Oryctolagus cuniculus: one gene and its partners. The protein of the gene in region 1 purifies or fractionates together with the protein of each later gene. This does not show direct contact. Links are inferred from orthologs where the notes say so. Each region holds a gene or a part of one and is shown in the gene's direction. Other genes may lie near its edges. The genes, in order: DIS3L, GIGYF2, HBS1L, EIF4E2, EXOSC6, EXOSC2 and EXOSC3.

Evidence for each region.
Region 2: the proteins of DIS3L (region 1) and GIGYF2 purify together in Homo sapiens (affinity purification with mass spectrometry; 3 studies listed by BioGRID and IntAct, with this or other methods). This does not show direct contact. The link is inferred for Oryctolagus cuniculus from reciprocal best matches to the Homo sapiens genes DIS3L and GIGYF2.
Region 3: the proteins of DIS3L (region 1) and HBS1L purify together in Homo sapiens (affinity purification with mass spectrometry; 5 studies listed by BioGRID and IntAct, with this or other methods). This does not show direct contact. The link is inferred for Oryctolagus cuniculus from reciprocal best matches to the Homo sapiens genes DIS3L and HBS1L.
Region 4: the proteins of DIS3L (region 1) and EIF4E2 purify together in Homo sapiens (affinity purification with mass spectrometry; 3 studies listed by BioGRID and IntAct, with this or other methods). This does not show direct contact. The link is inferred for Oryctolagus cuniculus from reciprocal best matches to the Homo sapiens genes DIS3L and EIF4E2.
Region 5: the proteins of DIS3L (region 1) and EXOSC6 purify together in Homo sapiens (affinity purification with mass spectrometry; 3 studies listed by BioGRID and IntAct, with this or other methods). This does not show direct contact. The link is inferred for Oryctolagus cuniculus from reciprocal best matches to the Homo sapiens genes DIS3L and EXOSC6.
Region 6: the proteins of DIS3L (region 1) and EXOSC2 purify together in Homo sapiens (affinity purification with mass spectrometry; 5 studies listed by BioGRID and IntAct, with this or other methods). This does not show direct contact. The link is inferred for Oryctolagus cuniculus from reciprocal best matches to the Homo sapiens genes DIS3L and EXOSC2.
Region 7: the proteins of DIS3L (region 1) and EXOSC3 purify together in Homo sapiens (affinity purification with mass spectrometry; 6 studies listed by BioGRID and IntAct, counting the BioPlex papers as one, with this or other methods). This does not show direct contact. The link is inferred for Oryctolagus cuniculus from reciprocal best matches to the Homo sapiens genes DIS3L and EXOSC3.

What each region holds. Positions count from the first base shown.
Region 1 is NC_091443.1:89,272,569-89,276,599, forward strand, and holds the start of DIS3L (DIS3-like exonuclease 1), read left to right. Parts: upstream 1-1,231; 5' UTR 1,232-1,466; coding exon 1,467-1,776; intron 1,777-2,344; exon of another isoform or gene 2,345-2,447; intron 2,448-2,643; coding exon 2,644-2,794; intron 2,795-4,031. UniProt on the Homo sapiens protein: Catalytic component of the RNA exosome complex which has 3'->5' exoribonuclease activity and participates in a multitude of cellular RNA processing and degradation events.
Region 2 is NC_091434.1:6,789,376-6,793,645, reverse strand, and holds the start of GIGYF2 (GRB10-interacting GYF protein 2), read left to right. Parts: upstream 1-1,470; 5' UTR 1,471-1,588; intron 1,589-1,941; exon of another isoform or gene 1,942-2,239; intron 2,240-4,270. UniProt on the Homo sapiens protein: Key component of the 4EHP-GYF2 complex, a multiprotein complex that acts as a repressor of translation initiation. In the 4EHP-GYF2 complex, acts as a factor that bridges EIF4E2 to ZFP36/TTP, linking translation repression with mRNA decay.
Region 3 is NC_091436.1:33,928,296-33,931,795, forward strand, and holds part of HBS1L (HBS1-like protein), read left to right. Parts: intron 1-350; coding exon 351-607; intron 608-1,051; coding exon 1,052-1,217; intron 1,218-3,500. UniProt on the Homo sapiens protein: GTPase component of the Pelota-HBS1L complex, a complex that recognizes stalled ribosomes and triggers the No-Go Decay (NGD) pathway.
Region 4 is NC_091434.1:6,905,251-6,908,750, reverse strand, and holds part of EIF4E2 (eukaryotic translation initiation factor 4E type 2), read left to right. Parts: intron 1-2,990; coding exon 2,991-3,125; intron 3,126-3,500. UniProt on the Homo sapiens protein: Recognizes and binds the 7-methylguanosine-containing mRNA cap during an early step in the initiation. Acts as a repressor of translation initiation.
Region 5 is NC_091449.1:56,939,944-56,942,863, forward strand, and holds EXOSC6 (exosome complex component MTR3), read left to right. Parts: upstream 1-1,249; 5' UTR 1,250-1,323; coding exon 1,324-2,139; 3' UTR 2,140-2,420; downstream 2,421-2,920. UniProt on the Homo sapiens protein: Non-catalytic component of the RNA exosome complex which has 3'->5' exoribonuclease activity and participates in a multitude of cellular RNA processing and degradation events.
Region 6 is NC_091432.1:233,342,217-233,346,421, forward strand, and holds the start of EXOSC2 (exosome complex component RRP4), read left to right. Parts: upstream 1-1,405; 5' UTR 1,406-1,460; coding exon 1,461-1,582; intron 1,583-4,205. UniProt on the Homo sapiens protein: Non-catalytic component of the RNA exosome complex which has 3'->5' exoribonuclease activity and participates in a multitude of cellular RNA processing and degradation events.
Region 7 is NC_091432.1:200,611,408-200,615,365, reverse strand, and holds the start of EXOSC3 (exosome complex component RRP40), read left to right. Parts: upstream 1-1,158; 5' UTR 1,159-1,225; coding exon 1,226-1,549; intron 1,550-2,790; coding exon 2,791-2,940; intron 2,941-3,958. UniProt on the Homo sapiens protein: Non-catalytic component of the RNA exosome complex which has 3'->5' exoribonuclease activity and participates in a multitude of cellular RNA processing and degradation events.

The sequences.
Region 1 (4,031 bases):
GTCTGGGTGATTTAAAAGCATAATTTGTCGATGTGCATCTCTTATTTGTCCTTTATTGGCAGTAGGGCCTACACCTGGTATTAATGCTTCTCATTTTGGGTTCAAATCCACCTCTGTAATCACCGCCACTGAAGGCAGATGTTGGTAGACTTTGAAAAACTTGCTCCATATGCTTCATAGCTTGTAACACATAATAGCCTGCAAATCCTGCAGCAGCAATGGTCAATCCGCCCGCTACCACTGTACTGGCCATGGCTTGGGCTCAGCTCCCCTGCCTTCACTGGGAGCACGGTACATCCCAGTCCAGAGGCCGCGGCCACCAACCAGACGCCATTACCCAAAAGCGAGGAGCTGCCAGCTACACCCACAAACAGCCCAAGCACAGGCTTCCCGTGAATCCAGAAGCATTTTTATATAGGGACAACTGTGGCTACATCCCGCCCTCTGGGGTCCCTAGCGTGGACCTCCTGAGGGAGAAGGGGCCTCTGGCAGTGGCGGTTGCCTTCTGGGCTTTTCAGTGCTGTGGCCTGCTGGCCGGCTCTGCGCTGTCTGCCTCTTTGATGCAGCTCCATGTTGGATCTTGTCCACACCCTCTGACACTTGCAGAGTAGCTTGCTACCCGGAGTGAGTGAGTGGGTGAGCGGGCACCCCTAGGCCTGCCCACTGCAGCATCGGGGTGGGGGAGGGGGCCACGTGCTCCAGCCCCTTGGTTGAGCTGCCTTCACGCACCTTCACCGGGTACCCTCTAATCACCTCCCCAGGTGAAGCGCCTCTGTTTCATTCCTCTGTGAACAACATGGCCATCACCTGTAGACCTGTCCTGATTCACTGGTGACCGCCCCAGCTAATAACCGGGGAGCCCTGGCCTTCACCCCCATCATAGTCTATAAAATGGTCATAGTGACGCCCCACGCCTTTGACCTGGAGTGAGTTCAAAAGGGACCCATGCAGGCCTGTGCTGCTTTTCCAAGGCTGTGGTTAAGTGCCTGGAGGCAAACTGGTGGGCCCCCTCTCCACCAAGGGTGTGTCAGCTCAGGAGGGGCTGAAGTTATCAGATTGGAAACATGCCCCCAGGTGCCCGCCCCTGGCAGTTCTAAGCATTACTTGGCCAGGGGCTGTTTAATTAGGGCCCAACGGCACCTCCAAATTCAGGATTGCTACTCATTTTACCCACATGGTTTGAATTTCTGCCAGTATAAAAGACACATGCAAGTCAGAATAGAGACTGCCTTTTTTAAGGGGGCATCGGTGGGCTGGGAGGGTTGCTGACTTATTCACCGAAACTCAGCATTCTTAGCAGCCTGATCCACACCCATGGGTGCGATAGTCCCAAAGGCGGGATAATCCCATCTGGTCGCCCTAAACCTTTCAACCCAAGAGTTTATAAACGCGCTGCCCTCCACCTTACCCCATCACTTTTGGACAACCTTCTTTCCTGAGCTCCAAGACCCCACAGCAGCAGCAAGATGAGCGACACAGATGCTGGAAGATGGCCTCGTCTCATCCACTCCGAAGAGGAGGCCGCTACGGCGGGTTCGGTGTCCGGCGCCCTGGCCGAGGGGCGGGCCTCAAACCTCGGCCTCGTCTCCGCCTGCTCGCCCAGCTCGTCGGGTTACTGGAGAACGGGCGAGGGAAACATGCTGGAGAAGACGGAGCGAGTGATCACGGTGAACGCCGTCTACCGCTGTCCGCTGCGGGTCGTGAGAGAACACTACCTGCGGCCCTGCGTGCCCTGTAACAGCGCGCTGTGCTCCCAGCCCGAGTACTGCTGCAACGGTCAGAGGCGCTCGCCGAGGGCCGGGCGGGCGGCGGGCGGCGCGGGGCGAGAGGCGCCGGGCGCGCCAGGCAGGGCCGGGAGGCGGAGCGCGAGGCCCCGGCCGCGGCACCGAGGCGAGAGAGGCCCAGGCCCGCGGGCGCCGGGGCGCTCCTCGCACGGAGCTCCCTGACGACTCCGCGCTGCCTCGTGGAAACCCCGGAGGGAGAGCCTGGCGCTCGCTCGAGCGGCCCGAGGGCCCCCGCAGCCTGCCTCTTCCCGTGCGCAGGGCGGCGCGATCCTGCGGCGGGAAGGGCCGGGGCGGCCAGCCCCACGCAGAGGCAGAGGCGGCGCGCGGCCTGCCCGCTCCACAGCGCTGACGCCGCCCACCTGGCTGTGGGGGAGAACCCGCTTCACGGCCGGGCTCGCGAACCGGGCTGGCGTGGTGGGGGTAGCGGGGCGAAGCTGGTGTGGAGCTGTGCGCGCCAGACCTTGCCCTCTGGGGTTCTCCAGTGATGGCCGGGTCCCCTCCCCGCAGGGGCACGGGGAGCGCAGCCAGGGGGCTCCTCCATGCAGCTCCGGGGCAGGGTGGACAGCCCTGCACTGCACGCGGCTTGCACCGGGCGTCGTTTCTAGGCAGCCGGCCCTGGGCTTCCCTCCAGAAGCTGGCCCTGACCTTGCGGGGCGTCCGCAGGTGGTTAACGCGCAGAAGCGTACACGCCACCCACCCTGCGGAGCCCACATTTCTCGCAGCTTCGAAACACGATGAAGCTGCCCAGTTTGGCTGAACCCCGGGCCTGTCGTTATGTACAAAGTGCCCGGAAGTTGTTTTGCCCCTGTGGATGACCTAGGGTTAAATGTTCTCTGATCTCTTCTGTTTTGTGTTTCAGTGGGCAAACTCTTACCTGCAGAGGTGACCCATTACATGGTGCCAGACAGCTCAGTTTTCGATTACTTTGAAATCTTGGAAATGCCGGAATTGAAGGGCGTGATTTGGCTGCAAACTGTGACTGACGCTCTACATTCGAAAAGAGGGTGGAGGTATGTTTGTATTGATCACCATCCCCCAGCTCCACAGAAAAGATTTGAGACTCAACCAGCATCCCATATGGGATACCAGTGCTTCAGGCCAGGGAGTTAACCTGCTGCGCCACAGAGCTGGCCCCTAAACTTATTTTTTAAAACAGCTAACCACTGGGGAAAGTGTCTATGCTTTGATTTGAGGCGTACAGCCGTGGCATGCTAACGGCATATCCAACCTCTTAATACCCCGAGTTATTAAATAAGCAGAAATTTTGGAATTTTCTTTTCAGATCTTGGTGGTAAAAAGTGAGGTGTTTATTTGTGTGAAAATGATAAATTATCCTTAAGATAATGGTCAGTTTTTTTTTAAAAAATATGCATTAGCTGGATTGTTTACAGGCTTTTCCAGATTGAATATTTTAAAATGAGTGTGAAGTTTATTTTATTCAGACACAAAGATATATTTTTTCATATCCAGGTTTAAATGCTGCTCCAGGCGTCATATTTCTGCTACTAAAATCAATTTGCTGTTATATTCCCATTGCTAACACACTGCGAGCCTTTTCAACCTGTTTTCTAAAATATTTTTAATATTAAGGATTGCTTTCCAAACCAATTCCTGTGACATTCAAAGGCGAAGCATGGGTATTTAAATGTCTTTTCTCTTGAACATTTCGAAATGAGTGAACTTGATGAAAAAGGATTGGTTTTTCCACTGCTTAGTCCTGTCTCACATATACTAAATGTGAAAACAAGGGAGGAGCAGTTAGGAAAGAGGCTTCCAGGTGACACCCTGGGCTTTCCATGTAGTAAGCACTTTTTGAGCTGTTCCGAGGCCTTAGGGCACGCAGTCTTAGTCCCTCTTACCACAAACCTGTTGACTTCCTGGGATTAGATGAAAGGAGCAAGGTTGGGGCAGGTGTTTGGTGCTTGGGATGTTCTCACGTATCAGTCTGGCTTCCTGCTGGTTTGAGCCCTGGGAGGCTGCAGGAGTGGGCCCCTGCACCCAGGTGGGAGATCCAGCTGCAGCTTCTTTGGCCTGAGCGAGGGCTGGCCATTGTGATTTAGGGAGTAAACTAGTAGATCTCTTCTGGGGTCTAACGGGAAGCTGTATGGCTGGGATCTGAAGATGTCAGGGTACCCACTAAGCACTAACTGCCCTCACCTGCTCTGTACTAAAATTTCTTTATTTGAAAGAGTGACAGCTGGAGCTCCATGTCTCCCACAGGGGTGGAAGGCACCCAGGGACTTGGGC
Region 2 (4,270 bases), on another chromosome or scaffold:
TTGGGAGCTAGGAGCCCAAAACTCCACACTGGCCTCCGATGTGGGTGGCCGGGATCAAGTACCCGCTGCCTCCCAGGGGGGACATTAGCAGGAAGCTGCATGGGAAGCAGAGCGGGGACTTAAACCCAGGTCCCTCCAATGTGGACGCGGGCTTCTCCTGTGGTGTCTTCCCTGCCGCACCAAACGCTGACCCCAAGCCTCCGCATTTCTACCAAGCTCCCCGGCCCTGCTGAGGTTGTCCGGCCACTCACTCTGGGCATCAAGGGAATGAAGGTGAAGGGAAGGCAGTGTTTCAGAGAGCAGGAAGTGGTCAACGTGTTGAAGACAGGGAAGCACCAGCGGGAGGTGAGAACTGCAGCGTCCTCAGGGCGAGGGTAGGGAGGTAGGTTGTTAAGGAGGAAGGGGTGGGGGTAGAATGGGGGGGTGGGGGTGGGGGGGTGAGGATTGCATTCTAGCCTTGGGAATTGAGAAACTGCATCTAAACAGCTCTTTGGGGTCAGTTTGGCTTTCAAAGGTAACGGAGAGGCAGGGAGGAAAGTGAAGGAGGAATTGGGGTTTTTAACATAAATGTTTAAGGTGGGAGACATTTGAGTATTTTTTAAAGAGTTTATGTATTCGAAAGGCAGAGTTACAGAGGGAGGGAGAGACAGAAACCCGGAGAGAGCTCTTCCAACCTTCGGCCAGCTCACTCCCCAGATGGCCCCCGGCTGGGCCAGGAGGAAGCCAGGAGCCTGAACCTCCGTCCCGGGCTCCCAGGTGGGTGGCAGGGGCCCGAGCCCTGGGGCCATCAGCGGGGAGCTGCAGAGGGTGGCCGGCTGACCTGACGCGAAGGGAGAGGGTGCAGGCCCGGGAGGGAACGGGATGGCCTGAGAGGGGCAGAGTTGCCAGATTTGGCAAGTGAAATTCAGGGCGCCCAGCTAGGAACGGGGATTTCAGAAAAAGAACGACCGGCCGGCCAGCCTCAGCGGATCCCAGATACTGCTAGGTGTGCCGCAGCGGGAGACTTTCGCGTCAGCTCTGGGGAGGATCCCCCGTTCTGCCAGAGCTGTCACCCCGATGAGAAACTGGATCATCGGATCTCGGCGCTCTCCCGTGCGCTCCAGGACAGCAAACGCGCAGGGAAATTCTGCGCGCAAAGCGGTGGGAAAGTTCTGGTTCGGAAAGCCAGCTCGTCAGTGATGGAGAGGCTTCTGCGCTGCAGCTGGGCCGTGGCTTGGGTGTGCAGGACAGTGAGTCACAGGCCCCGGCCCGGGTCCAAGTCCGCACGCCAGCTCCACTCAACCCAAGGGCAGGCGCGGAGCGGCCGCCACGGGCCCCCCAGGCGCCTGCGCGCTGCCGCCGCCCCGCCCTCGCCCGGCCTCGCATCCGGGTCTCGGGAGGGGGCGTGTCCGGGCAAAGGGGCGGGAGGCGGCGGAAAGGGAAAGATGTCGTGGGAGGCTGGGGAGCGGGGAGGGGAGCGGGGCGGGCCGGGGGCGGGGCCGGAGCGGGGCGCGGTCACGTGATGTGCGTGGCGACGTGTCGGCCATCTTGTGTTGTTGAGGCTGAGGACTGACTTGGGTTCTGAGAGACTCCCTGTCCCGGACCGCAGGTAACCAGCGACTCCGTCCCGCTCCCCTGTCCGGCTCCGCTCTGCGCCCTGGCCCTGCCGCCGCGCCTCGGGCCGCCTGGCCTTGCGTCCGCACTCACGTCCTCCCGCTCCGGCCAGACCCGGCCCGGCCGCATGGGGACACCCACAGGCCGCCCCGGCGGCGGCCGCGGCCGGCTGGGACGTCAGGCGAGGGGGGACAGGTCAGGTGCGGGGCCGGAGGGAGCCTCCGCCCGGGCGAGAGGCACGGCGGGCCCGTGCGCGGCTCGGCCGCGGGACCCCCCCCCCCCGCCGGGCCCCCGTGGCACTGCGGGGCGAGCCGAGGAAGGGGGCAGGGTGGTGGGGTGGGCAGTGTCAGACCGGTCGCTCGGGGCCGGAGGGCTCGCCTTGCGGGGCCTGCCCACCCGCCCGGCCCCGGTGCCCCGGGGAGCAGCCGCTGCCGGCAGACAGCTGCCCACACCTGGCCCCCGGCGGGTGCGCCCCGGTGGTGCCCGCCGAGCATCTGGCCGGGGGAGGCTCCTTCCGCGGCGAGAGGACTGGGTCTGGACCAGGCCCGAGGCGAGGTGGAGCCATGATCCGAGGCTGGGCCAGGGGAGCCCGCGGCAGCTTTGGGGACTGGAAGGCGCACCTCCGGTGGAAGCGGGCACGGTGGCCGTAAGTGTCAGCAGTTTCCCACGAAGCACTCCGAACACTTCAGCGTGGTGGCCGACACATGAGGCCGCCGGGCAGGCCAGGAGGGTGTGAAGGCGGGTTGGTGACCGTGTGCGGAGAGCAGGAGCGTGGCTTTGCGCGCACCCCCCGCCGCCCCCGTTTTCCTGAAAGTCAAAGCACCTAGGCACACCTAGTCTCTGTAGGCAGGTAAGTATTGCAGTGGACCTCGCAGCCCAGTGCTGAGCCCTGGCTCCTAGGCGGCTTGATCCCCAGTGCTGTGTTCAGGGGAGATACTTTTTCCATATGTACTATTTCCTTTTTGGAAGCTGGTGACTTCCTAGGATAGAAGAAAAGATTTTTTTTTTTTTGGTCCTTCTGTACACGAACTTCCAACCTTCTGGCCGCATCGCTGGCCTTCCACGTTGGCCCGTTTTGCTGAGCGCACAGACGCCTTCTCTCGTTTATTGGTGTTTTCGTGTGTTTTACCCGCCGGAGTAGCAGACTGGAGCGCTCGAGCTGGAATATGCACTTTTCTGTTCCGTCAGCCGTTGACGTCCGAAGAGGATCCTAGGAAGAACACGTAAATGTGGCATGTATTTGGAAAAAGGACACATGACCCTTCCTTGAACATCTCACGCTGAGGAATGCACTGGCGATGGTGGTGATTCACCGGGAAGGAAAAGCCTTCACACCCTCTTGACGCTTCAGAGAACATTTTAGGATTTTGAGGCTGGGAGGGAGAAGGGACAACCTGCTTATTTATTTACTCATTTATTTCTGCATTCATTTACTTGACAGTTCTTGAGCACTTAACTACAGTGTTGGGTGCTGGAAGCAAAACAGACCAATTCCTGTCTCAGTAGAACTCACTGGTAGACAGAAAATAAATTCTTAGGTAGAATATGAAGACGCTCCTTGCTTACTGTGAAGCTACAGCTCCATAAACTCATCACTAGTTGAAGATGCATTGACCCCACCTGGCCTTTACATATCACAGCTTGAGCACACAGAGCACTGTGAAGTGGGTTGTGTCCCTGTGATCTTGAGGTGACTGGAGTTTCTGCTTGTATAGTGAGAGAGAGTCGGACTGTGTTGCCAGCCCAGGAGAGGATCCACATTCAGGTTCCCAGTACGGTCTCTACTGAATGCATATTTCTTTCCCATCTTTGCAAGGTAGAAAAACTGTAAGTTGAACCATCGTCAGTCGGAGACTGTATATTGTGTAAGTGATGTGAAAAAATGACACAGGGAGGCAGGACGTTATTAAGAGGGCTGGAGAAGGCTTCGTGGGAAAGCCAGTATCCGAGGGGAGGCCTGGCAGGTAGAGGTGCTGTTCCTTTAGCAGTGTGCTGGAAGAGCGCTCCAAGCTGGGGGCAGCGAGCACAAAGACCCTGAGCCTGACGACCGAGGTGACCGAGGTGGGAGGTGACCGGTGACCAGCCAGGCCAGCCTACGCCCAGCGGCCAGGGTTCGAGGGAGGCTCGGAGCAGCAGGGTGGGTCTGCCCCTGCTAAGGGGAAAGGATTGCTCATGAGACTCGGAAAGGGAAATCGAGGTTCTGGAGTTCTGGGCCAGCAGCTCCACCCCCTTCCGCACGCTCTCCTCCTGCCACCTTCCCCTCCCCCCCAATTTGGAAAATTCAGATAATGAATATATGCCAGGCAGCTGTGGTGAATTTCCCCACTAAAAGTAAAACTTAAAAAATAAACAGTGTATTTTTCAGAAGGAATTTTTTTTCTAAAAAGAGGATCTTTGGACATTTCAGGATATTTGAAAATGTGGGGAAAGGAGGGACTTCCTGTAAAGTTTAGATGCAGATGATTAAGGAATGTAATTAGGAGGAATCATTGTAAACTCAAGTCTGCCATAATCTGGTCAGTAAAGAATTTTTCTGAATTCTCTGCTGTCCAGTCTAGGTTCTAGTATCCAGGGACCTCTATGAATTCGTATATCCTTTGTCGCATTTTACATGCATAGAACTTTGCTGGTTTTTATTCCTCCATTTGCCTCCTTTACCTTTCAGACTAGTTTTCTG
Region 3 (3,500 bases), on another chromosome or scaffold:
TTTTAATGCTAATTTTATCTGCAGTAACGTGGTGCCATAAAAAAAAAACCTCCTTTATACCTCCTTTATGCCATCTTTTTTGATAGGATTGATTATATGACCAAGGCTTGGACTTTAAGGTTTAGTTAGTTTACAGGATTTTTTTTTTTTCCTTTGATAGAGTATTTTTTTCATCTGGGATCTTCCAGTTTGTATTTGTGTGATTGGGTCTAGCTTATGCCATCCCCCTTTTAGCAAACTCTAACCACTTGGCAGAGGCATTTGGGTTTGAGGTGTAAAGAGTTATGGAAAAAAAAGGACTCATAAGTAGAGTCGGCTTAAAACAGTGTTTTCCTAACTGCTTTCTTTAGAGTAACTTCCCAAGAGAATGGTCATGGTTTCCACACACCTCAGAAAGGTGACGATACCAGCAGTGCTGCTTCTGGTGGCGGTCTGGAGCACACGGCGAAATCCGCTCCCGCGCCTCACGCGGGGCAGGTGTCGGAAGAACAGAGCTCCCCGGCGGCGCTGGTGAAGAAGCCCGGCAGGCTGCGGCAGCAAATCGATGTGAAAGCCGAACTGGAGAAGCGGCAAGGAGGGAAGCAGCTCCTCAACTTAGTGGTCATTGGTAATGCCCTTTGTGCCTCCAGGTTCGCGAGCCTCACTGCCTTGTGGGGCAGCCCCGAAGCTCTGTGTTCCTCTGTGGGTGTAATGGACAGAAAGCAAGGAGCTGTTGCATCATAATGGCTTCCTGGTCACCCTGCGGAAATGATGCCGCGTTTCCAAGGAGGCTGGTGGACCTGTTGCCGCATTTTCATGTTGTGCACATTTTGAGAATGGCATGTCTTATTGAAAATTTTAATTTATAAAAATGAGGGAAATCTCCCCCTCTAAAGGGACATGCCCCCCCCACCCCGCATTTAGATGTTTTATCTGTCGTTTGTTAAAAATTGGTATTCAGTATACTCCATAAACACTGCAGTGAACTATTGAATTACACTGTCATGCAACGCCTCAGTGTGAACAGCTTGTGAAATGTGCCTGGTATTAATCTTGAATCAATTTTCCATAGGTCATGTTGATGCTGGGAAAAGTACTCTGATGGGCCATATGCTTTATCTCCTGGGTAATGTAAACAAAAGAACTATGCATAAGTATGAACAGGAGTCTAAAAAGGCTGGCAAAGCTTCGTTTGCGTATGCATGGGTCTTGGATGAGACTGGTGAAGAAAGAGAAAGGTAGTCACTATATTTCAGAATTTTCAGTTTGAAATGATATAGTCTTTTTAAATTAGTAATATGTGTTGAATATATGAAACATGCCATGAAATACTTTAGGGATTTTATATTCAGAGAGAAACTTCTAATTATCAGAGAGAAGTATTTCTTGTAATTTTCATTATAAATAGCTTCTTTGTACTCTCCCAAATTCTATGAGAATAAATCAAAGCTAAAACAAAAAACACATAGAAGTTAATTAGTAAAAACCCTAAGCTAATTATTCTATGGGAGAAGATCCTGTTACTACTTCCCTTTATGCCTGATTGCCTTGATATTGAATTTAAATTATGAGTTAAGACTTAATTTTATAATAGGTTGTAAAGGAAAGGCAACAGTAGTGAACTCTCTTCTTTCAGGATCAAAGTGACCATTATATCTAGATTACCACACTTACTTATTTTATACTTTAAATAAGTAATTAAACCCATAACCTGCCACTGAGATATAATTCAGTCAGTTACTCCCTTCTGTCTTTGTTACTATGTTCAATGCTAATTTGGTGAGGGGAGAGGTGGAAATTCTAGCAGGAGAATACAGCCACTCATATACTTCTGGCTAAAGTACAATATTTCTTGTAGTAGTGATATGTATTATTTTAGGGCTGTAAACGGTGGGAGAACCAAGGGCACCTTAGTGATTAAGTGTAACTGTTTCAAAATGATGACTAAATTAAATTGCATTCCCCCAATTTCCTCAATCTGAGTATAATTAGAGATATTTAGATTTCTATACTTTTTTCATGGATATGTTTATTTTCTCATAGTCTTGGATAACCTGCATTATAATATATAAGGTAATCATTGGTAAAACTGGTCACAATGTTCCTTAGCTCTTCTAATAAGTAGGACTTTATATCATAGCAGGTTTTTATCCCCTTGTAAGTGTCTTATAAATTCTGTATAGCACCATGAACCTGTTTTCCACCTTGGTAAGAAAAATTAGCCGGACAGCTGCCAGTTTTTTGTAAACAGTAGAATTGTATATGACATCAGTATTAGAAGCATACATAATTTCTGCTTGTCAGCCCAACAAGCAGATTGTTAAAGTATATGGCTTTTAGTTTTCTTTGTGTCATCTAGTAAATAAGAGATTGGAGACAGTATAATTTGAGTGCAAATAATTTGGTCGAATTTAATTAATTTGTGAATTAAGCTGGCAAGTTAGCTAATGATCTGATTCCTATAATCATCACTCATTTTAGGGGTCTTTTTTGGATGATGTTGCTGCTTACTGACTGTTGTACTTTTACTGCTACTAGTCTTCGGTTTCTCAGGATGATACTATTTTTAGAATATCCCTTTATTACATAGATTAGTCATGGTTCATCACTATTCTGAAATGCCGTGATCCATAGGTTATTTGGAGATTATTAAGGAGAACTATACCTCACTTTGGCCCATCACTTCAGATTAAACTCAGATGCCATGACTGAGGAAACCATAGTCACCTGACTCTGAGGGGGGACCTGAGTTCATTAGAATCGTTGGGACTCGTGAAAATGAAAGAGAGGGCTGTCATCCACTGCTTTGGATGATGCAGCGGGTACTACGATGATTGCCCACCCGAGTTCCTCTTCTAAGTTCCAGAGGTCAAGAGTGATTCAGTGACCTTGTGGACCTTCCCTCAGCTTCCCTATAATCTCAATCTACATTCTTGTGACTGAAAAGAGGCGTTCATTGTGTCTGGTCTCCAGAGGAGATGGAAAGGCACACAAAGTAAACTGCCATTCATTTCTCTCAGTTTTTAAAAAGTTAGGTCTCCTTGGATTCTCCATATTTTCTAAATGCATTACTTACTGACTAACCTTGCAAATGAGAATTTCACAAGTTTATTTGTATAAATAGGTGAGGTATAACCATGAAACATAAGGACATTACCTGTTGATAGTGATGAGTTTTCATGTTGTCTTTTCTCATGTGCAGTATTTATTTTCCCCCCACTAGAGATGTCCCCATATATTTTTCTTTATTTATACTTCATACTATTTCTTACTAAAACATAAAAAAGCAAGGAAATGGGAAATAACAATCCTTTTGATTGAGTTCTTGCTGTATCCACAACCTTGTTTTAATGCCATAGAAGTATAATTGTATTTAGCAGAAATTCCAGCCCTAATTGATACTTTAATTATTCAAAATAATGATTTATGTAATAAAATTCGCATTGTTACTTGTCAGCCTATAGTTTAATGATTTAATCCATAGAACTCTTGTTTTATATAGTGCATTCTAACAATGTTTT
Region 4 (3,500 bases), on another chromosome or scaffold:
GTAGCATTTTATGCTAGGTGCTGAGAAGACACAAACGTGAATTAGACTGTGGGTCAAGGAACTTTCATTTCTTTTTAATAAGATGTGTTTATTTGAAAGGCAAAGTCGCAGAGAGATGGGGGTAGAAGGGGTGCGTGTCGCTCCCCCTCTTCGTGGAGGAACGACACTAAGCCCTGCCTAGGCTTCATATCCGAGTCACGGCACCATTATGTTGCTCCCCCTCTTCATGGAGGAACGACACAGGACCCTGCGCTGTTCTTTCGTCTGCTCGGCCCTCCCCGGGTTTGCTGCTGGTTCTTCCCAGGTTGGCTGCTGGTCCTTCCCGGGTTGGCTGCTGGTTCTTCCCGGGTTGGCTACTGACCCTTCCACCTCCGTGGAAGGGCGGTTCCCCCTGCCACATTCCCCACTTCCGCGGGGGAGCGGTACACCGCTGGCCGGCTCTCTCGGGGGCTGCACAGGTGTCCCCCTTAGATGTTCCTGGTGCATGTTGTCTCTCTCCTCCTTTATAGTCCTCTTCCACCAATCCCAACTCTGCTACCCACACGCCGAGTACACTGCTCTCCTCCAATCAGGAGCAGGTCCTGCAGCTTGTCAAGTTGGTGAGAGGCAGCTGTGTAGAAGCTGGTTCCTCCTCTCCCAGCGCCATATTGTGGGAGAGCAGATGCATAGAATAAGTCTTAATTCGAGTAACTTAGTCTAGTCCGAGTTGCTCCCAGTTGCTCCCCACAGGTGGGAGAAGAGAGGTCTTCCGTCCACTGGTTCACTCCCCAAATAGTGACAGCAGCCGGGCCTGAGCTAGGCTGGAGCCAGGAGCCAGGAGCCAGGAGCTTCCTCCAGGTCTCCCATGTGGGTACAGGGGCCTAAACACTTGGGCCACCCTCCACCACGTTTTCAGGCCAACAGTGCAGTAGCTGGATCAACAGTGGAGTAGCCAGGACTCACACCGCTACCCGTGTGAGATGCTGGAGCTGCAGGCAGCAGCTTTACCCCCCGTGCCACAGTGCTGCACCGCTTGTTTTTAAAAAAAGATTTATTTTTATTATTTATTTTAAAGACAGAGTTACAGAAAGAGGGAGAGTCAGAGAAAGAGAGATCTTCCATCTGCTGGTTCCCTCCCCAAATGGCCGCAATGCGGGAGCTTCTTCCAGGTCTCCCACGTGGGCTCAGGGACCCAAACACTTGGGCCATCCTCTACTACTTTCCCAAGCACATTAGCAGGGAGCTGGATTGGAAGAGGAGCAGCCAGGACTTGAATCAGCATCCGTATGGGATACCGGCGCGGCAGGCAGCGGCCTTACCTGCTATGCCACAGCAGTGGCCCCAGAACTTGCGTTCATTTATTTACTTTTGCTTTTTGTTTTGTTTTGTTTTTTAGGAAGAGAGAGGCAAACTAATTCACTCCTCAAGTGCCTAGAACAACTGGAGTGGTGCCAGCAGCTAGGAACTCGGGCCAGGGCTCCTAACTGGGTGGCAGGAGCCCAGTCCCTTGGGCCTTCACTGCTGCTTCCCAGGGTCCCTGTTAGCAGGAACCTGTAGTCAGGAGCTGCGTCTCAACCCAGGCACTTGGGCGTGGGCTGTAATCATCTGAACTGCCAGGATAAACACCCGCCCCAGGGCTCACGTTTGATATGAGCATTGCTTGCTTGCTTTTTTTTTATTTCAAAAAAATTTTTTTAATAGAAAACTTTTATTTAGTAAATACAAATTCTGAAAGTATAACTTTTGGATTCTAGCAGCGGTTCTTCCCCCGCATAACCACCCTCTCACCCGCAAACCATCCCATCTCGTACTCCCTCTCCCATCCCATTCTTCATTAAGATTCGATATGAGCATTTCTAATAGTGGCTGACACTTAACTGAGCTCCTCCTCAGTGCTAGGCTCTAGCTAGGCCTCTGATGTCCTGCCAGCAGCCCTGTGGAGTGGTGGCGGTTTTCCTCATTTTGCAAGTAAGAAGCTGAGATACAGGGGTCAACGCTGTGGCTTGGCGTCTTAAAGCCCCTGCCTGCAGCACCGGTGCTCCAGTACCTCCCAGCCCCACTGTCGACCCAGCTCCCTGCTAAAGCGCCTGGGAAAGCAGCAGAGGATGGCCCCAGTGCCTGGGACCCTGCACCCACCTGGGAGACATGGAAGAAACTGCTGGCTTCTGGCTTCAGCCTGGCTCAGTCCTGGCTGTTGTAGCCATTTGGGAGTGAATCAGTGGGTGGAAGATCCTATCTCTCTCTCTCTCTCTCTCTCTCCCCCCCTCCCTCTCCCCCCTCCCCCTTCCTCCCTCCCTCATTCTCTCTGTCTTTCAAATAAATAAATCTGAAAAAAAAGCAACAGGTGAGGTACTAACAGGTAAAGCATCTTGCCACTAATAAGTGATAAAGAGCGTCATAGAAGAAGCAGTGCTAGACTGGACATAGGTTAAGATAAGATGCAAGGCCGGCGCCGCGGCTCAACAGGCTAATCCTCTGCCTTGCGGCGCCAGCACACCGGGTTCTAGTCCCGGTCAGGGCGCCGGATTCTCTCCCGGTTGCCCCTCTTCCAGGCCAGCTCTCTGCTGTGGCCAGGGAGTGCAGTGGAGGATGGCCCAAGTGCTTGTGCCCTGCACCCCATGGGAGACCAGGAGAAGCACCTGGCTCCTGGCTTCGGATCAGCGAGATGCGCCGGCCGCAGCGCGCTGGCCGCGGCAGCCATTGGAGGGTGAACCAACGGCAAAGGAAGACCTTTCTTTGTCTCTCTCTCTCTCTCACTGTGCACTCTGCCTGTCAAAAACAAACAAAAAGATAAGATGCAAACAGATAGCTGTGAGATGAGGTAGAAAGTCACAGAAGCCACCCCAGCAGTGCGGGGCGGAGAGTGGGAGCTCACTGTGTAAGCAGGCGCCTGGGCGTGTGCTCGTGCTTGGTGTTTTGTCCTCTCCGCTGTGGAAGCGGTGAGGGTGTGCTGTGAAGTCTCTGACTCGGAGCATGTGGCAGACCAGGGCTGACAGACCTCTGCTCCCCAGGCTGTTGTCCCTGGACCGGCAGAGCACCCCCTGCAATACAACTACACGTTCTGGTACTCCAGGAGGACCCCGGGCCGCCCCACCAGCTCCCAGAGCTACGAACAGAACATCAAACAGATCGGCACCTTCGCCTCTGTGAGTACCTAGTGGGCCAGGGCGGGCCTCGGCGTCCGCTCGGCCGTGCCCGTCGCGCTGGGTGCTCGCCCTCTTGGTGACCCGTGTAAGGTGCTGCTTTCTAACTCGCTGACCGAGCCCCCAGCGGCAGATGTGTTCCCTCTGAGATGTCGTATTTGACATCCAGAGTTAGTAGGTGGTATTGATCAGAAAGGCATAACAGAAAAGTACAGTTTTATCTTTCTGTCTTTTAAGTACGTATTTATTGAGTCCTTAGGACATGCAGAGTGTCCTGTGGTCGTTACACGTGGTGTCCATCTTCGTAGAGTTGCATGGTAAAGTCAGAAGCAAAGTTTCAAGTTTCCTTTGTATTTAAGAACCTCTCATTAGGGTTTT
Region 5 (2,920 bases), on another chromosome or scaffold:
CTCATTGATGCCTTCTGGTCATTACCTCCCAGCATGCACCCCTGCTGACAGCTCTTGGCTACCCGAGGGTGTGTAAAACATGCTGACTCCAGCTCAGTCCAGCCCTAAACCCTTGAACTCAGTGTTTGTGGAGACGGGGGTGAGATGGAGAGAGAGGCTCTAATAATTCAGTGGTCCGAGGGGTTACAAAGCAAAGGTGCGCCTGGAGAACCTCCATTGTTTTTTTCTTTTAAAGATTGATTGATTTGAAGGGCAGAGTTACAGAAAAGCAGAGAGAGAGAGGTCTTCCATCCACTGGTTCACTACCCAAAGGGCTGCAGTGGCCGGAGCTGTGCTGATCCGAAGCCAGGAGCTTCCTCCAGGTCTCCCACGCGTGTGCAGGGGCCCAAGCACTTGGGCCATCTTCCACTGCTTTCCCAGGCCATAGCAGAGAGCTGGATTGGAGCAGCTGGTCTCAAACTGGTGCTCACATCGGATGCCAGCCCTGCAGGCGGCGGCTCTGGCTCATGTCCCTCCCCTCCCTCTGAAGCTCTTCATGTGGGGTCAGGGTATGAGGCTGGAGGGCAGTCTCTGGTACAGAAGATGTTTAAGGTGCAGCTATTGCCTCCTACTCTAGTGTCTGCCCATCACTCCCACTTGACCCAAAGACACTGGCCGGTCTCTGAGTCCAGTTTCCCCAAGTCTAAAATGGCAGAGTTTGGAAGGTGAAGGTACTGCTTGCCTGTGCCAGCCCCAACGGATGTCCTGTCCTCTGGATACAGCGGCTGGCCCCAGAGCCCAGGTCACGGTGCTGCTGACAGTGGAGGGAGAAGGAAAAGCAGGTGCATGCTGGGGTGAGGGGCGGTTCTCAGGGTGGGAAGGGGAGGCAGAAAGGGGGTGTTGATGTCCGTGTTAATGATACAAAGAGACTTACATAAAGCCAGTGCTGGAGAGAGATTCCATCCATCATATAGGCCTTCGTGCCAGCCAGGGGCTTGGGAGTGAGCAAGGCCAACTCCCCGGTGGGGACATATAAAATAGTCCCACAGATTAGTGCAAAACTAAGATAACTACAGCCTGCATAAGTGAGAAGACTAAGCGCTCGGGTAGGACCTGGCCTGGGAGACAGTCAACCGGCCCGTCCAGCCCTGGGCAACCTTGCTGCGGCTTCAAAGCCTTGGCGCCGCAGCCGTTCTCCCTCCACGGCGCCAGGGGGCAGTGCAGCCGCGACTGCCTGCGGCTCTCCCGACAGCCCCCGCGCGAGCGCGCGTCTTCAAGCGGGCGGAAGAGCCGGAGCGCGCGGTAGGACGACGGGCGGAAGCGGTGTGCTCGCCAGGTGCCGCCATGCCCGGGGACCACCGCCGCATCCGCGGACCAGACGAGTCGCAGCCGCCGCAGCTGTACGCCGCCGACGAGGAAGAGGAGCCCGCCGCCCGAGACCCGACGCGGCTGCGGCCGGTGTACGCGCGCGCCGGGCTGCTGAGCCAGGCCAAGGGCTCGGCCTACCTGGAGGCGGGAGGCACCAAGGTGCTGTGCGCCGTGTCGGGCCCACGCCAGGTCGAGGGCAGCGAGCGAGGGAGCGGCCCTGCCGGCGCCGGCGGCGAGGCCCCGGCCGCGCTGCGCGGCCGCCTGGTCTGCGATTTCCGCCGTGCGCCTTTCTCGGGCCGCCGGCGCCGGGCGCCTCCGGGCGGCGGCGAGGAGCGCGAGCTGGCCCTGGCGTTGCAGGAGGCGCTGGAGCCGGCCGTGCGCCTGAGCCGCTACCCGCGCGCGCAGCTCGAGGTGTCGGCGCTGCTGCTGGAGGACGGCGGCTCGGCGCTGGCCGCCGCCCTCACGGCCGCCGCCCTCGCCCTGGCCGACGCGGGCGTCGAGATGTACGACCTGGTGGTGGGCTGCGGCCTGAGCCGCGCGCAGGGGCCCACGCCCGCCTGGCTGCTGGACCCGACGCGGCTGGAGGAGGAGCGCGCCGCCGCCGGCCTCACCGTGGCCCTCATGCCGGTGCTCAACCAGGTGGCCGGGCTGCTGGGCAGCGGGGAGGGCGACGCGACCGAGACTTGGGCCGAAGCCGTGCGGCTGGGCCTCGAGGGCTGCCAGCGACTCTACCCGGTGCTGCAGCAGTGCCTGGTGCGGGCCGCCCGCCGCAGGGGCGCCGCCCTGCCCTGAGCCGGCGGGCGAAGTGGAGCCGCGAGCGGACAGAGCGTGCGGAGATGGACAGTTGCGTTGGAACGGCTGTCGACAGACGAACGTTTGACGATCTTTCCAGTCCCCAGCCAGAAGCCAGCGCAGGAAGCCGCGGGCTGCTTGCTTACTCCCGAGCTGGGAAGGACTTGAGCCGGCCTGGTCCGGAGCGCGGGATCTGTGTGACTCCGGAGACGATGGACAGGGCGCTGCGCCTTCTCACAGCGGGACTGAAACAACAAAACCGTTTTTTTTTGTATTCGAAATACGCGTGTCGTGGTTCTTAGTACAGGATTTTCAGAGAGAGCAAGGCTCCCTGGCGGTGAGGCTCAGGACAGCACTGCCCCGCCTGTGTCGTGTCCCTTGGACCGGTGAGCCGACCAGACGGGCCAGAATCCTGAAGCAGCTGCGGGTTTAGAAGTGGGCCGTGTGCTTGGCAGGAAGACACGCCGCCGCCTCCGGTGCCCGTGAGGGCGGCTGCTGCGCCGGGAGGAGAGTTGGACGGCCCGGGAGCACTCGGGGGTCCCGGAGCTCATGGCTGTGCCGCGAGAGGCCCCAGCGCAGGGTTCCCGAGAGCTGGAAAGGGTTTTGCTGGGGGTGGAAGCCGGATCCCAGCCTTCCGTGGCCAGGGCCACAGCAGTCCAGTCAAAGGCCTGCACTGCCGCTGAGTGGGCCCCTGGGCTGCCTTCATCTGCCCGTTGTCCAGCCTGAGCCCCTGGGGAGAGGGCGGGTGAACTGGCTTCTGGGAAAGCAGAGGAGCATGGCT
Region 6 (4,205 bases), on another chromosome or scaffold:
AGCTCCTTTAAGCAGGAGTGGCAGATAAGACCACACGGGACAGGCATCGCTCCACCGGCAGGGACTCCTGTGACGTGACAGGCAGTGCCCGGCACGCGGGCGGAGGCTGCTGTGGGCACAGACGCAGGTGCAGGCCTTGGTTGTGTGTGCGCATTTGCCCTCTCCACCACACACACCTGCCTCGCGGGGTGTGGCCTGCTTCGCTTCACTTCTCTTTCTCTTTTTTCAGAGAAGTCAGCTGGCTCAGCAGTGTCCGGCGTGCTGCCTGTGGGTGGGGGTGCGGGCTGGGTTGACCCAGCAGCCGTGAGGCGGCTGTTCTGACCGACTGGGGCCACTGGGAACAGTGTGAAGTGGGGCGCTTGGGGCTGGCGCCAGGGCACAATGGGTTAAGCCATCACCTTCTATTCTGGCATCTCATGTGGGTGCAGGTTCAAGTCCCGGCCGCTCCACTTCCGATCCAGCCCCCTGCTAATGCTCCTGGGAAAGCAGCAGGGGATGGCCCAAGTGCTCGGGCCCCTGCACCTGCATGGGAGACCTGTGGGGGGAGTTCCTGGCTCCTAGTTTCTGGCCACTTGGGGAGTGAACCATCAGATGGGAGATCTTTCGCTGTCTCTCCCTGTGGCTTTGCCCTTCAAATAAATCTTTTTTCCCTAAACTTGGAACACTGCTTTAGAAATTGCTTGGCTCCTTAAACACTGTCTTTTTAAAAGCATTTATTTATTTGAAAGGCAGAGTTAGAGAGAGAGAGAGAGACAGAGAGACAGTGAGACAGAGAGGTCTTCCATCCACTGGTTCACTCCTCAAATGGCTGCAAGGGCCAGAACTGGGCCAGGCCGAAGCCAGGAGCTTCCTCCAGGTCTCCCACGAGGGTGCAGGGGCCCCAGCACTTGGGCCATCTTCCACTGCTTTCCCAGGCGCATCAGCAGGGAGCTGGATGGGAAGTGGAGCAGCTGGGCGCCCAATGGGAAATCAGCGCTGCAGGCAGCGGCTTACCCCCACTGCGTCCCAGCGCCAGTCCCAATAAATCTTTTGAAAAAAAGAAAGTATGGCTATGCTTTCTGTTGAAATCGTGTCCTCCTGGGCGCTGTCATACAAAAATCAGATTTTAGCGGCTTAGAGCTGGACGGAAACTCAGAGGCCCATTCCTCAATTACGTCTAACGCTGGTAAACAATAAGCAGGATGGCAGTACCAGACAGCTTTGATAAAAAGCCACAAACAATAGCTTGTGGAATGCCATCACGCCACAGGTGCACCCTTGCCAGTAATAAACGTGGAAACTCCGCATTCCTCCCCTTCGGGTTAACATAACGGTTGCCAGTAGTCAACATGGCTGCCACACCGTGCGCTCCCATTGGCGGCTGCCCTGAGGCCCCGCCCCAGACCGCCCCTCTCGGAGTTGCCGGGCTGAATTCCGCGGCTCCGGGCCGAGCTGCGCCTGCGCAGGTTATTGGCGCCAAGATGGCGATGGAGATGCGCCTTCCGGTGGCGAGGAAGCTTCCCAGCGAGAGTCTGGGGCGTGATACCAAGAAGCACCTGGTGGTGCCGGGGGACACGATCACCACGGACACGGGCTTCATGCGGTACGGGGGGCCCCGGGGTGCAGGGGGCGGCCGCAGGGCTCTGCACGTGATCTGCGGGCCCGACCGGGGCCCAGGGCAGCCCCTCGGCGTCGTCTGCGAGACGAGTCCCTGACGCCGCCTCGCCTGCACTCTGGCGGCCCCGACTCTGGGGGTCTGAAGCGCCGATCTCTGGGCGTTCCTTGCTGGGGGCGGGAGGAAGGGGACTCTACGGGTCCGGCCGTGTCCGGGGGCGGGGGCGGGAGGAGGGGGACTCTGCGGGTCCCGGCGGTGTCCGGGGGCGGGGGCGGGGGGCGGTAAGTCGGGGTCTCTGCGGGTCTCGGCCGTGTCCGGGGGCGGTAAATCGGGGTCTCTGCGGGTCCCGGCCGTGTCCGGGGGCGGTAAATCGGGGTCTCTGCGGGTCCCGGCCGTGTCCGGGGGCGGTAAATCGGGGTCTCTGCGGGTCCCGGCGGTGTCTGGGGGCGGGGGCGGGGGGCGGTAAGTCGGGGTCTCTGCGGGTCCCGGCGGTGTCTGGGGGCGGGGGCGGGAGGAAGGGGACTCCGCGGGTCCCGGCGGTGTGCGGGGGCGGGGGCGGTAAGTCGGGGACCCTGCGGTTCCCAGCCGGGGGCGGACGGAGGGCAGACTTGGCTTCCCTCCTCCTCCCTGAGCCCCCCACCCAGCTTGGGCCCGGGGTAGGGGTCGTTCCTGTGTGGGCTTAGGAAGACTCAAGGTTGCATGAACTACCTTGCATGAATACACGCTGTGCCGCAGGGCAGTGCAGGGCCTTGTAGTTGGGGGACAAGGGGGGCTCCCCGCCTGCCAGTCACCTTATCAGAGGTCCGGTTCCTGATCTGTAAGAATTTCTGACGGGAGTTACTGAAGGGTCGGATGGGAAAGATACAAGACTCACCGTTAGATCGCCGGCAGAGATAAGCACTGGCAGTGTTTCAGCCTCTTGGTTTTTTGTAGGAATGCACGTTTGCCGGGTGTACATCATCTTCAGCATCAATATTTGTTTATTTTTATTTATTTGACAGGCAGAGTGGACAGTGAGAGAGACAGAAAGGTCTTCGTCTGTTGGTTCACCCCCCCAATGGCCGCCATGGGCCTTGCGCTGTGCTGATCCGATGGCAGGAGCCAGGTGCTTCTCCTGGTCTCCCATGGGGTGCAGGGCCGAAGCACTTGGGCCATCCTCCACTGCACTCCCGGGCCACAGCAGAGAGCTGGACAGGAAGAGGAGTGACTGGGACTCGAACCCAGTGCCCATATGGGATGCCAGTGCCACAGGTGGAGGATTAACCAAGTGAGCCGCGGCGCCGGCCCCTGCTTATTTATTTTTGAGAGAGACAGAGTGTTGTTTCACTTCTCAACTGCCTGCAACCCTCTGGCTGGAGCCAGGAGCCAGGAGCGCAACGTGGGTCTCCCACGTGGGTGGCAGAGAGCCAGTCGCTTGAGTTGTCACTGCCGCTTCCCCGGGTCTGTGTTCGCAGGAAGCCGGAGCCAGCAGTCAGACCCAGGCACCAGATGTGGGAGGCCGGCTTCTTAGCTACAGGCTGAACACTTGCACGCCCACCACCACTCCCCTAACTTCTCCCGGGGCTCCCGGGCAGGTGCAGGGGCCCAAGCACTGGGCCCTCCTCTGCTGCTCTCCCAGGCCATAGCAGGGAGCTGGACGGGAAGTGGAGCAGCCAGGACTTGAACTGGCACCCACATGGGATGCCGGCGCTGCAGGCGGAGGCCCAACCTGCTGGCCCCACCCCAAGTTTGAGGTTGTTGGAATCTCCGAAATGTTAAAATTCATTCCTGTGTTCGTACTTTCGCCATATATTTGTAGTCCGTGTGGTCTGGGTGTAGCAGTGAACAAAATGAATTCTGTCCTGGCGGAGTTGGCGTCTGGGGAGACACAGATAGTGAGGAATATGTTGGCCGGCGCCGCGGCTCACTAGGCTAATCCTCCACCTGCAGCGCCGGCACACCGGGTTCTAGTCCCGGTCGGGGCGCCGGATTCTGTCCCGGTTGCCCCTCTTCCAGGCCAGCTGTCTGCTGTGGCCAGGGAGTGCAGTGGAGGATGGCCCAAGTGCTTGGGCCCTGCACCCCATGGGAGACCAGGAAAAGCACCTGGCTCCTGCCATCGGATCAGCGCGGTGCGCCGGCCGTGGTGGCCATTGGGGGGTGAACCAACAGCAAAGGAAGACCTTTCTCTCTCTCACTGTCCACTCTGCCTGTCAAAAAAAAGAAAAGAAAAAGAAAAAGGAATACGTTAGCACAACAGCAGACAAGGAGTGGGGTCAGTGTTGCGGCACCAGGGGTTAGGCCATGGCTTGAGGCCCCAGCAGCCCGTATCCCAGCCCAGGTTAGAGTCCCGGCTGCTCCACTTCTGATCCAGCTCTCTGCTGTGGCCTGGGAGGGCAGCAGAAGATGGCCCAAGGGCTTGGGCCCTGCACACACGTGGGAGACCTGGTGGAGCTCAGGGCTCCTGGCCTGGCTTGACCCAGCCCCAGCCCTTGCAGCCATGTGGGGAGTGAGCCAGGGATGGAAGATATGTCTGTCTGTCTCCCTGTCACTCTGCCTTTGAAATAAATAAATAAATCTTAAACAGCAACAAATAAGGCATAAATGGAGAGCGTGCTTGGGGATACGGCGGCAG
Region 7 (3,958 bases), on another chromosome or scaffold:
TCACAGTATTACTATATTCATTTACTTATCAGGCATTGTTTCTTTTTTTCTTTTTTTTTGACAGGGAGAGTGGACAGTGAGAGAGAGAGACAGAGAGAAAGGTCTTCCTTTTGCCATTGGTTCACCCTCCAATGGCCGCCGCTGCCGGCGCACCGCGCTGATCCGAAGCCAAGAGCCAGGTGCCAGGTGCTTCTCCTGGTCTCCCATGGGGTGCAGGGCCCAAGCACTTGGGCCATCCTCCACTGCACTCCCTGGCCACAGCAGAGAGCTGGACTGGAAGAGGAGCAGCTGGGACAGAATCCGGCGCCCGGACCGGGACTAGAACCTGGAGTGCCGGCGCCGCAGGCGGAGGATTAGCCTAGTGAGCCTCGGCGCCGGCCCAGGCATTGTTTCATACCAGACCTTGGGCTACAATCAGAACTAGAGTGGTCGGCATGGAAGAGCACACAAACAGGCAAGACCAATACGTTTTCTTCTCTAGTTACAATCAAGGTGTTTTTTTTTTTTATGATTTATTTTATTTATTTAAAAGGCAGAGTTACAGAGCGACAGAGCTCTTCCACCTCCTGGTTCACTCCCCAAATGGCCTCCAAGGCAGGGGCTGAGCCAGACCCAAGCCAGGAGCCTGGAGCTTCATCCAGATCTCCCAGGCGGATGCAGGAACCCGAGGATTTGGACCATCCTCTGCTGCTTTCCCAGGTGAGCAGGGAGCTGGATGGGAAGTGGAGCAGCCGGCACTCGAACCACAGCAGCCTTACCCACTAGGCCACAACGCAGGTCCCCAAGAAGTTTTACTTTGAAGAAAAAGTACTTTTCCTGGTAAAGGTCAGCACACTTCTGAAGGTAGCGTCCGAAAAGAGCCCCACAAAGTAGTTTCCAAAGTCCCTCTGTTCAGCTCCCGTAATTCTCCAGGGATCCTATGAGAAGTATCTTGTAGTCCAGGGGTGCGACCGGAAGTGCAGGCTTCTCCAGTGGACTCAAGCTGGGCGTGGCTCACTGCCGACCCGCGGGCAGACCACGAGGCAGGTGCTCGGGTCCTGACACAATCACAGCCGCCTTGGGCGAGGAGCACCCGCCTGCTGGCAGAGACCCGGCTTCGCAGACTTGGGTGCAAGGCCAAACGACAGCCACGGCCGGAAGCGGAAATCCGGCCGTGGGCTGGCTGCTCCACTCGGAGACGGAAGCGGAAGTTGGGTACCGGAAGCAGTGTTTAGTGACGCCTACTATGGCTGAATCTGCGCCTGTCACAGCTGAGTCTCTCGCGGGCAGCGGGGCGCGGGCGGCGTGCACGGTTCTGAACCAGGTGGTGCTCCCAGGAGAGGAGCTGCTGCTGCCGGAACAGGAGGACGCAGACGGCGCTGGCGGGGCCGGGGAGCGGCCGTTACGCCTGAATGCCGGGGTGTGCTCGCGCGTGCGCGTGGTGTGCGGCCCGGGCTTGCGGCGCTCTGGCGATCGTCTTCTGGTCACCAAGTGCGGCCTCCTCCGCCACAAGGAGCCCAGCAGTGGCAGTGGCGGTGGCGTTTACTGGGTGGACTCGCAACAGAAGCGGGTGAGCTGGGATCCCGGGGGGGACGGGGAGGTGGGGGCGCGGCCGTGAGCATGGAAGAAGCCGCCGTGGGGCCTTGCAGTGTTAAGGCGGAGGGTGGGGGCGCTGCCGTGAGCGTGGAAGAGGCCGCCGAGGGGTCTTCCTGTGTTAGGGCGGGGGGTGGGGGCGCGGCCGTGAGCGTGGAAGAGGCCGCCGTGGGGCCTTGCAGTGTTAAGGCGGGGGGTGGGGGCGCGGCTGTGAGCGTGGAAGGGGCCGCCGAGGGGCCTTGTGTTAAGTCAGGGGTGGGGGGCGCGGCCGTGGTGCCTTGCTGCGTTAAGGCTGATTTGGAACCACCGTAGTGCAGGGCCCACCTCAGCAGCCACTGTATGTAGGACCATGAACAGTAGGGATGCAGCCTGACAGAGGCCTCTGGAGACTGAATCATGGTTATTGTCATTAAAATCCCAGTGGTTTTGGAACAGCAGGCTTGACCTTTGGCGTCCCAGCGAGCAGAACCAGGCTCAATGAGTGGCAGTTACAGGGAGTTAAATCGCTCTTAGGTGAGAACTTTCCTGGTAGGAAAAAGTGTCTAACAATGGAATGTGCTTTCCTGGTTCTAAGGATTCCAGTGCCACTGGACTTGGATGCAGCAGAAGCTAGGGACTTACTGGTAAATACTGGCTCAAATGAATAGAAGCTGTAGGGGCCACTTGTGGTGCAGCAGGTTAACGCCCTGGTCTGAAGCACCGGCATCCCTTATGGGCGCCCATTCGAGTCCCGGCTGCTCCTCTTCTGATCCAGCTCTTTGCTATGGCCTGGGAAAGCAGTAGAAGATGGCCCAAGTCATTGGGCCCCTGCACCTACATGGGAGACCTGGAGGAAGCTCCAGGCTCCTGGTTTTGGATCGGCGCAGCTCTGGCTGCTGTGGCCAACTGGGGAGTGACCCATCGGATGGAAGACCTCTCTCCCCCTTTCCCCCTCTTCCTCTATCCTCCTCTCTCCTTTCTGTGTAACTCTGATTCTCAAATAAAAATAAATAAATCTTTAAAAAAATGAATAGAAGCTGTAAATCTGAGAGTTTATACTGTGATCTCTCTTTTACTGAAAATGGCATATAATCAAACTTGTATGGGTTAACTTGTAAACTTGCATTTCGGAATATTTAAAATTATCTCTTTAATGACAACAACTAAGGCTAACTTGCTGGAGATATCTTGCAATGATAGCTTGCCATTTATGGCTGTTCTCTCAATTCTGTTTTGTAGTATGTTCCAGTGAAAGGAGACCACGTGATTGGCATAGTGACGGCTAAGTCTGGAGATATATTCAAAGTTGACGTTGGAGGGAGTGAGCCAGCTTCTTTGTCTTACTTGGCATTTGAAGGTGCAACGAAAAGAAACAGACCTAATGTGCAGGTAATGATGGCGCCTTTGACCCCTAGGACGTTCATTTATCCAGCAGCTGCCTGACCTGTCTCCAGAGCCTGGCCATTCTCCCAGCTGTGCGGGATCATCTCTGAGTGTTCGGGCTCTCAGAGTTCCTTCAGAGTCTGCAGGAGCAGAGGCACACACTTGGTTTATATTTGTGACGTTGGTTCCTGGGAGGCTTCACCTTGGAGGGGAGAGGTTCTGTTTTCTCCGCTGTTACCTGTTAGGTCCGTATCCACTGGCCAAGGTCAGGCACAGCCTTAGAGAGGGGGAAGGACAGGTGGTGCAGATCAGCAGCAGCTGTCTGTTCGCCCTGCAGAGGAGTCATCTTCTTACCTAAAGTTTGCAATTGGCCTTCTCAGGTCGCATAGCCACACCCTTCCTGTCTACCCAAGCCAGGAACTTGGTGGCTTCTTTGCCCTTTCACCTCTAGTCACTAGTTGCTTAATCCTATTTTGAGCCTACCTCCATCCCTTTGTCTCCACTTTGCAAGTTCAGGCCTTAAACCCCCGCCCCCACAACTGAAGTCAGTGAGTGATCCTATTAACTCCTTTACCTCCACCCTTTTACCCCATCCATAGAGGCTTTGGGGAGCTGATATCCCCTTTCTCAGACTAAAAGGAAGATTCTTCAAAGCCTGCAGAATTCCTCAGCGTTACCTCCTTCACAGCGTGCGTGAATCACACCATACTCTACTGAACTCAGTTTCCTGCCCGTGTATCTTGCTTGGGTCATTCAGGTTGTTCCCTGTCGGGATTGCACAGGCTCATCCTTTGGGATCTGGGGTGAACAGGACCATCTTTGTGAAGGCATTGCCAGTCATCACTTTTTTATCTTTGCTTTAGCACTTAACTGAATTTGGCCTCGAATGAAATCTAATCTGTGCATCCCAGCTGCACTCCAAGACCAAATGCTTCTGAAAGGCAGACAGTGTTTTGTTCCTCTCTAGGAACGTGGTCACTGACAAAAAGTAGATATTTAATGTTTCCTTGAGTGAACAGAACAG